Linked DNA regions of Neodiprion lecontei. The protein of the gene in region 1 binds, or shares a complex with, the protein of each later gene. Links are inferred from orthologs where the notes say so. Each region holds a gene or a part of one and is shown on either strand. Other genes may lie near its edges.

Region 1 (3,962 bases):
CCCGAAATTTCCCTGAATTTTCCAGACTGCATCTAATTCCGTGAGATTTCTTGGTTTTCCGGAAATTCCCTGACGCTAAACACCCTGATGTACACATAGAAAACAGCACACAACATAAAAAGTACATAGAATGGCCTACGGAGTGTAGTCGTGTCCATACTTTCTCTTGCATGAGTTTAGCATGGCTGGCTGTGTTTCCATCTTCATCCAATAGTCCTTCCTTAGCGAACGGGAATACAGCGAGGAAATTTTCCTTCTGAGCAAGGTCCAAATGCGGCATCAAAAAGATCTTTGGTATGCTCGACAAGTCGAATTGAGAACGTTCTGCAAAACGAATAAAGAATCAATATTTTCATCGTAGCCATTGTTCAGGTTACAAGACTAGCGTATATTCCATGTTTGCTTACCCAGCGACTTGACTTTCCTGAGATTGGGAAAATTCTGCAACAACTCGTTTGGCGAGGTGGAATTGTTGGAATTTGTGTTCATGCGCGAATGCTTACGATATCTCTGTAACAGAAATGAAAAGTGAATATGCGGTACAGGAAAATAATCAGGGAGAAAGAACTTCTCGCAAAATACTTGACGATAATATTATCTCTAAAAGATTATACAAACCCGTGCAATCTTCTTCATATAATTGTCGAAGTGCTGCATAGAGACGTCAGGCAGATATGGACTTTTGGGTATATCAACTTTTTCAACAAATGCATCACCCCATGTCTTGGTGAGAAAATTACTTTGCTTTCCTTTGTTGGGGTCATTCAGTACCGCAGGCAAGTTTTGCGCAGCTGAATAAATGGTCCACGACGGAGACGATCCGGTTACTTGACCGTTGCTTTTCTTTTGTTGCTGTTGCTGCTGCTGCATCGTCGCGTGTTTTGTCGCATGGGCTATGTAATCCTTATCCGAAACACCTTCGACCGGAAGGCTGCTGCATACACTGTTATACCCATAACGGCAAACAAACGAACCACCTTCTCTTGCGCAATGTTGCTCTCTCAAGTGTCTAAGATAAAGCATACATCATCTTTATATAGTATCTTATATAACACATACGATACTAAGCAAATTTTAATGGCACAACCTAAGAGATATCGAGCAATTTGAGAAAAGATTTTAGAATCAGAATTTTCAAAATGATTAATAAACTCTGGTGTTTTTTATGCGATTCTTACATGTTTCGACTCATTTTCGTCACTGATCAGATCTTCACAAATTGTCTAGACAACATTCGAGATAGACTCTTATATGATAATATAATTATAACACACGAATGTGATTGTTAACGAACATCTATTTTACCGTACTAACATAAATCTAATTTTATCTAGTTTGTAAATCTGTATGAAGAACAAAATGAGGCCAAGACATCATAATTGAATGATAAACACCACAGTTTACTCATTTTAAACGTTCTGACTACAAAAATTTTACTCAAATCATTGATATCTAAGCTTATGTTATAAAAATTTGCTCAGAATCATTTCTCTTTGAAATTACGGATGTTGTATGACATATCTTCACTATCATTTATGCAAATAACATTACCGGAGATTGTTTAAATGACCTTTGTAAGGATTTCTCCTCTTTTCCTAACTTTTGATACTGGCCAACCAAAATTGGCCAATTTGCCTTCATCGCAACAATTAGCTGTGAGAATTCGTATTGTTTAAGTTGGTAAGGTTGATATAACAATGCAATTTTAAGAAAAATCGTTGGTCCGCCGTCTTAGGAGGATGTGAAGTTTAAGCAACTGAAATAGAACAACATGAAGTCTAACAATCTAAATACTCAATAATATCAAAATCATTGTGAAATAGCGTATTGGTGATATTTTTGCAATGTTTAATGTTCTTCAACCTTGTTACAACTGAACAACTGCCGAGTGCTTAAGCATTTGACATACAATTTCATGTGATAAATCAAGAGAAGAATTGAAATTGTGTGGAGCGACTGAAAAGATATCATATCGTGGATCTTTCGAAGTATTTTAATCTTTAGGAGTACAAAAAAAATAATTACTGCCAGGTAGTGCAATGAAAAGGAGTTACGTAAGCACCTAATTACTACCACAAGAGTCTGGTTAGATCAATAGCTTATGTTAATTTGAGTAATAATAAGTCGTTGCTTTAGACGAGTCATCTTTAATGGATGGAATATTTAGAGGAAGTCATTGAAATAAAAAATTTTACAGATTCACTGCAATTTTAAAGCGAGTCGCTAATGCAAACAAAGTAGATTGTTGTGCTAAGATTGTTTGCATAATTTACAACAATATCAATGCTTGAAAGTTGGCTCAACTATGACAGATGATGAGAGAAGAAAAGTGACCGATGGAAACATATGACAGTTTATTTAAGCATCTCGCTGAATAGATGAAAGATGAATACTGAACATTGAGTAAGACCTTTGAAGTTTTAACCAACAATACAAGGCGGGCTCAGATTAACAGGGGAGAATTTATTCGGGCAATGACAGCGGCAAGGTCAGCTGATGATTGCGGAAGGTGGCAATGATAACGCGGTGAGACGCAACGTGGCCAGATAAGTCGAAAATACTAAGGTGTGGAGTCGGGACCTACCTTATGAAGTCCTCGATGTATCTGAAGGTGATATTGGGGCAATATTCGCAGGAAAACGACGCGGTGGAAACCTCCGGTGCCTTTATTATTTTCGCCATTTTATCACACCTGTCAGCTCAGCTCACCATCACTTCGACTGGTGTTGTCGTCCACCGTTTCACCGCTCAATTCGCGTAAACCACTGCAGTTGACGACATCAAACGCCAACGCAGGCCATCAGCATCCAGCTGCTAATGACAGCCGTTCCACGGATTCAATTGGGAGTCTGGGACGTAATGTTAGAAAGAGACGGGACTCGGCGCCGTGATGTAAACCGATGTAAACTGCTAGCAATACGTCATCCTTTTATGCATAGACCACGGATTTATGACATACAGTATGGTGGAGTGTACTGTGACGTCACAACATCACTCCCCGACAATTCCAGATGCTAGACACTAGATCTAGCGATCGATTCTGTAATTTCACTTTTCACATATCCCACCATCCGAGAATTTTGATTGGTCGACTAAACTTTGCAAGGCAATCAGAATGTTTGGATGGTGGGGACTGTGAAGAATGCTCTGAAGTACAGGCCGATGCACCGTCGGTAGTTCTGGGTCAGCAGGTACCGACTAGGCATTGAAATGCAGTGGACAATGGATGTTCAATCGCGGTTTTCACACAAACGGGGAAAGGAATGACCGTCAGAATAATAAAGTAAAAACTCACCTTACCTTTCGAGGATGACTGGAACTTGATGAACAATAAGTCGATGAGGTGACAGGAGTTCAGAGAAATGACTGATTTTGTTTGTTAGGTATTTGATTTAAGTTGACATTATTTTAAAATTCAAAATACAAGTAGGCATTTTTGACTTTATAATATAATAGAATACACCGAATAATTCATACCAGTCCTCTGACACACGCTGCTAAAAGTGGTTCGCAAAATGTCCCTCGATTCTGCCGCCAATCTCCACCACTAGTGGCGCTAGTAGTTGTCTGACCAGCTCGCGCGCGGTCAGCGAGGGCAGCGAGCGTGACAGAAGTCTACTAGCGCCACGTAAAAGAACTAAAAAACGGGGACAAGACGCGTACAATTTTTTAGTATACAAGCAGTGGTGTCAGCGGGCTGGTCGTAACGCAACGTATCACTTCCTCCGATTATCTAACCGCGCCGTTAGATTGGCCAGACACTGTCGTTTTCCCTATTCTTTCTGTTGGTTCGAAACTAGAATCTACGCGCCAAGCTCACGTCCCCGTAAGTTGCTGTATTTTGATTGATTAAGAACTATAGAGTTTTTGCGCAGTGCGTATTTTACCCTAGCTTTCCTGTCTCTCTATTGGCTGATGTCACCGTCCGTTTTATCGACACTTGTCACAAAACAGCAATTTCA
Region 2 (3,600 bases), about 18 Mb from region 1:
GAACTCTATTTAGCTCGAATGTCTATAAGAAAAAATGCTTTTACTTAATTACAATTGTTTCATTTGATATTGTGTTACTCGAGCATTAGAAAATTATAACTATACGTACGTCTTTATGTACTTGTTCAATGATAGAAAGAATGGCATTTTCTTTTTCATTTCTCAAGTAGCTAACAATGTCTGTATCTGCGACGGGATCCAATGGCTCAAAAGTACGCCGTGCACTCAGAGAATTCAATTTTTGTGATATTTGCGGTAGGTCAACACCACGCGAACCCAATAAGAGATGTCTGCAGTAAATTGAAACGGATTTAATTATAAATGGCAAGGAGGTCGAGCCTCGACAATTTTGAGGTTACATTTAAACTCCGCGAGAAAAAAAAGTGGATACGTACAGAAATCCGGTGGTGCCAATTTAATTTAGTCATCCGTTTTTGTTTTACACATAAAGAACTAAAAATTGGATATTTAATTTCCGTACTTACGCCTGTACTTGATTATCCTGACTGCTGGGCTGAGTGACGCGGGACCAAAGTTCGTTAGAGGCTTCTAAAATCTGTCTTAAGTTTCTTTCGACTTGCGGTAATTCGCCGTTTCCCTCTACAGCGGCTGACAATTGCTCAGCCGACCGTAGGAGCTCGTTAAAATCTGAATCACCCATTCTGAAGAATTTCAACAATAAATTAACACGGCGAACTGAGGTTAGAGTAGTCCCGTACACGCCATTTACAAATTTGAAATTTCGTCTGCACGGACCAGCACGGACTTCAACCGATTGGACTGCCATCTGATCCTCGCATCAACAATTAAACTCCAAATACCCGAACCTCTAAAAAATGCGTAATGGCTGGTCTGCGAAGCAGACGGTAGCAGACAGCGTGCTGTCAAACTAGGCTGTCAGAGTTGTTCAGCCGATATTTTACACGTGAGAAGAGCAAGGAAAGAATACGCAGTAATAGTATTATAAATAAAAAAGTGTCGGAAGGTTCAATATCGTAGAAATGTCGTCGGAAGTCAACGCTTTTGACGATAGCGAGACGCAAATGGCTCACGAGGATCTGGAGGATGACGTGGTCCAGGAGGTCCTGACGATGGGGACAGACCTGCGGCAATATTCCCGACAAATAGAAAAAGAACTCAAAGAAGTCGAGAATAAATCTATTCAAGACTACATAAAAGAAAGTCAGAACATAGCCAGCTTGCATAACCAAATTGATGCCTGTGACAATATTTTAGAGGTTAGTAAATGGCTATTCGATACATGACGATACGTTCTCTCGCTATCACAATTTATTTATTACAGAAAATGGAATCCATGCTACTGAGCTTCAAAACCGACCTCGGCAGCATAAGTTCGGAAATTTTATACCTGCAACGAAAATCTGTAGCCATGAGCCAGCAACTTTCCAACCGCCAGGTCATTCGAGGACCACTGAGTCAATTCATCGAGGACATGACTGTTTCAGAAGCTCTGATAATGTAGGTTGAATAATAGAGTTCTGTGCCATTTTAACTATTAAGTTATCAGAAAGTATGTCATTTAGAACAGCAGAATCTATTTTTTACTCTGTTTTATTATTAGGGGAATCATGGACTGCCCGGTTACTGAGAAGGAATTTTTAACACAGCTGCAGACCTTGAATCACAAAATAAACTTTGTCAAAGAGCAAAGCTTCAAGGAAGCTAAATCTTGCCAAGACGTCAAAGAGATACTCGAGAAATTGAAAATAAAAGCAATGTCCAAGATCAGAACTTATCTGTTGGAACAAATATACAAATTTAGGAAACCAATGACCAACTATCAGGTTCCGCAAAATAACATGCTCAAGTATAAATTCTTTTTCGAATTTGTTTTGGCCAATGAAAGAAATGTTGCTGAAGAAATATGTGGGGAATATGTCGATACGATGAGCAAAATTTATTACTCTTACTTCAAGTCGTACTCTTCGCGACTCACAAAACTGCAGGTGAGAAAAAATTAGACATTTGCCTTTGCAATATACTTTACTAATCTTTCTATATGTGTACTCTAATGTTTTCTAGTTCGAAGAAGCTGCCACCAAAGATGATCTGATGGGCGTTGAAGATACAGCTGGCAGAGGGATCTTCCACAAAACTCCCCTCAAACATCGAGGCACTGTTTTTTCAATAGGCACCCGAGGAGATGTTCTCAATTCTCAATTAGAAGCTCCAATAATTGTGCCGCATACTGCGTCTAAGACTAGGGTTCGTTTTTTATTATTCAAGAAGATTTATAACAATCATAGGTGAATCAATAATGTATTTCATTCACAGTATCACTACGAAGCTTTGTTTAGAAGTGAACAATACGCGCTGGTGGATAACGCTTGCAGAGAGTATCTATTTCTGTCGGAATTTTTCAAGGTTCGCGGAACTCAGGCGATGGATATTTTCGATCAAGTAATTCAACATATTTTTCCCTTGGGAATTGCAACAATTAACGAATGACATACGGGATAGAATTGTAATTTTTCTTTTATTTTTCTATTAGGTGATGGGCAAGACCTTGCACCTGTTACTCAAGAACTTGCAGTCCTTTGTAGATGACTGTTACGACACTATAGCTCTCTTTCTTTGCTTGCATTTGGTAATGCGGTACCAATTGACTTGCCATAAACGAGCTGTCCCTGCACTAGACAAGTATTGGGATAATCTCACCTCAGTTATTTGGCCAAGGTAATCTCATCAGTTCTCTGAAAACGAATGTGCTTGGGATCCATTTAGACATTCTATTTCAGGTTCGAGTACGCCTTTCAGTTGAATATTCAAAGTATCAAAGACTGTGATCCCTGGAAATTGAATAAGGACATAGGACCTCATTACGTGAGTAATGTTACTTCCTATCATTTAACGTAACCACAGATCAACTCTCAAATAAATTTATGTCTTGACTCGCATCTCTATTCAGATTACTAGACGTTACGCTGAATTCAGTGCCGCGATGGTCGGAGTCGGAGAAGGATTTCCATGTGAAGGAGCTGCACAGTTGTTGGCTGAATTAAGAGAAGCAGTACAATGCTTTTTACTTAGAATGGCCGCAGTCTTTGTGCAGAGAACACAGCAATTAGTGTTTCTAATCAACAACTACGACTTGGTCCTGGGAGTTCTTATGGTCAGTTGTCGCTCTTTGTCACGGTCTTTCATTGAGAAATCAATGACGAACAAATAATTGTAAAAGTTTCGTTTCTCTGTAGGAAAGAACCAGAGATAATTCAAAAGAAGCTGAAAGCTTCCGTGAAAAATTGAACGCCCGTTCCTCTGAGTATGTTGAGGAAGTGTTGAGCCCTCATTTTGGCGGAATTATACAGCTTGTTAAAGAAACCGAAGCTTTATCTGATAAGGGTCAAGTGGAATATTTTAAGCAGCACGAAGGAACGGCACTGGCTTTAGTCGAGGCTTTTACTCAGTGTTGGAAAAACGAGTTGTCATCAATAAATAGCGAAGTTTTGAGATCGTTTCCAAGCTTAGTTTTAGGAGGCGCATTGCTTCAAAGAACTTTAACTCAGTTTGTTCAGTATTATCACCGTTTGCATAAAATTTTACCCGCAAATGCTAGAGCTCGATTGACAAACATCCATC

What was found. Proteins that work in one complex are often made in the same cells at the same time.
Region 2: vacuolar protein sorting-associated protein 54 (region 1) and vacuolar protein sorting-associated protein 52 homolog share a complex: the UniProt entries of both Caenorhabditis elegans proteins name them as parts of the golgi-associated retrograde protein (GARP) complex. The link is inferred for Neodiprion lecontei from reciprocal best matches to the Caenorhabditis elegans genes vps-54 and vps-52.

What each region holds. Positions count from the first base shown.
Region 1 is NC_060261.1:16,717,575-16,721,536, forward strand, and holds the start of vacuolar protein sorting-associated protein 54, read right to left. Parts: upstream 2,901-3,962; 5' UTR 2,683-2,900; coding exon 2,585-2,682; intron 1,010-2,584; coding exon 619-1,009; intron 511-618; coding exon 408-510; intron 325-407; coding exon 140-324; intron 1-139. UniProt on the Caenorhabditis elegans protein: Acts as a component of the GARP complex that is involved in retrograde transport from early and late endosomes to the trans-Golgi network (TGN). The GARP complex facilitates tethering as well as SNARE complex assembly at the Golgi.
Region 2 is NC_060261.1:35,079,397-35,082,996, forward strand, and holds the start of vacuolar protein sorting-associated protein 52 homolog, read left to right. Parts: upstream 1-859; 5' UTR 860-1,001; coding exon 1,002-1,238; intron 1,239-1,303; coding exon 1,304-1,479; intron 1,480-1,582; coding exon 1,583-1,967; intron 1,968-2,043; coding exon 2,044-2,226; intron 2,227-2,295; coding exon 2,296-2,421; intron 2,422-2,512; coding exon 2,513-2,697; intron 2,698-2,759; coding exon 2,760-2,844; intron 2,845-2,929; coding exon 2,930-3,133; intron 3,134-3,215; coding exon 3,216-3,600. Other genes in the region: nuclear pore complex protein Nup93, read right to left, coding at 1-22, 110-290, 486-787. UniProt on the Caenorhabditis elegans protein: Acts as a component of the GARP complex that is involved in retrograde transport from early and late endosomes to the trans-Golgi network (TGN). The GARP complex facilitates tethering as well as SNARE complex assembly at the Golgi.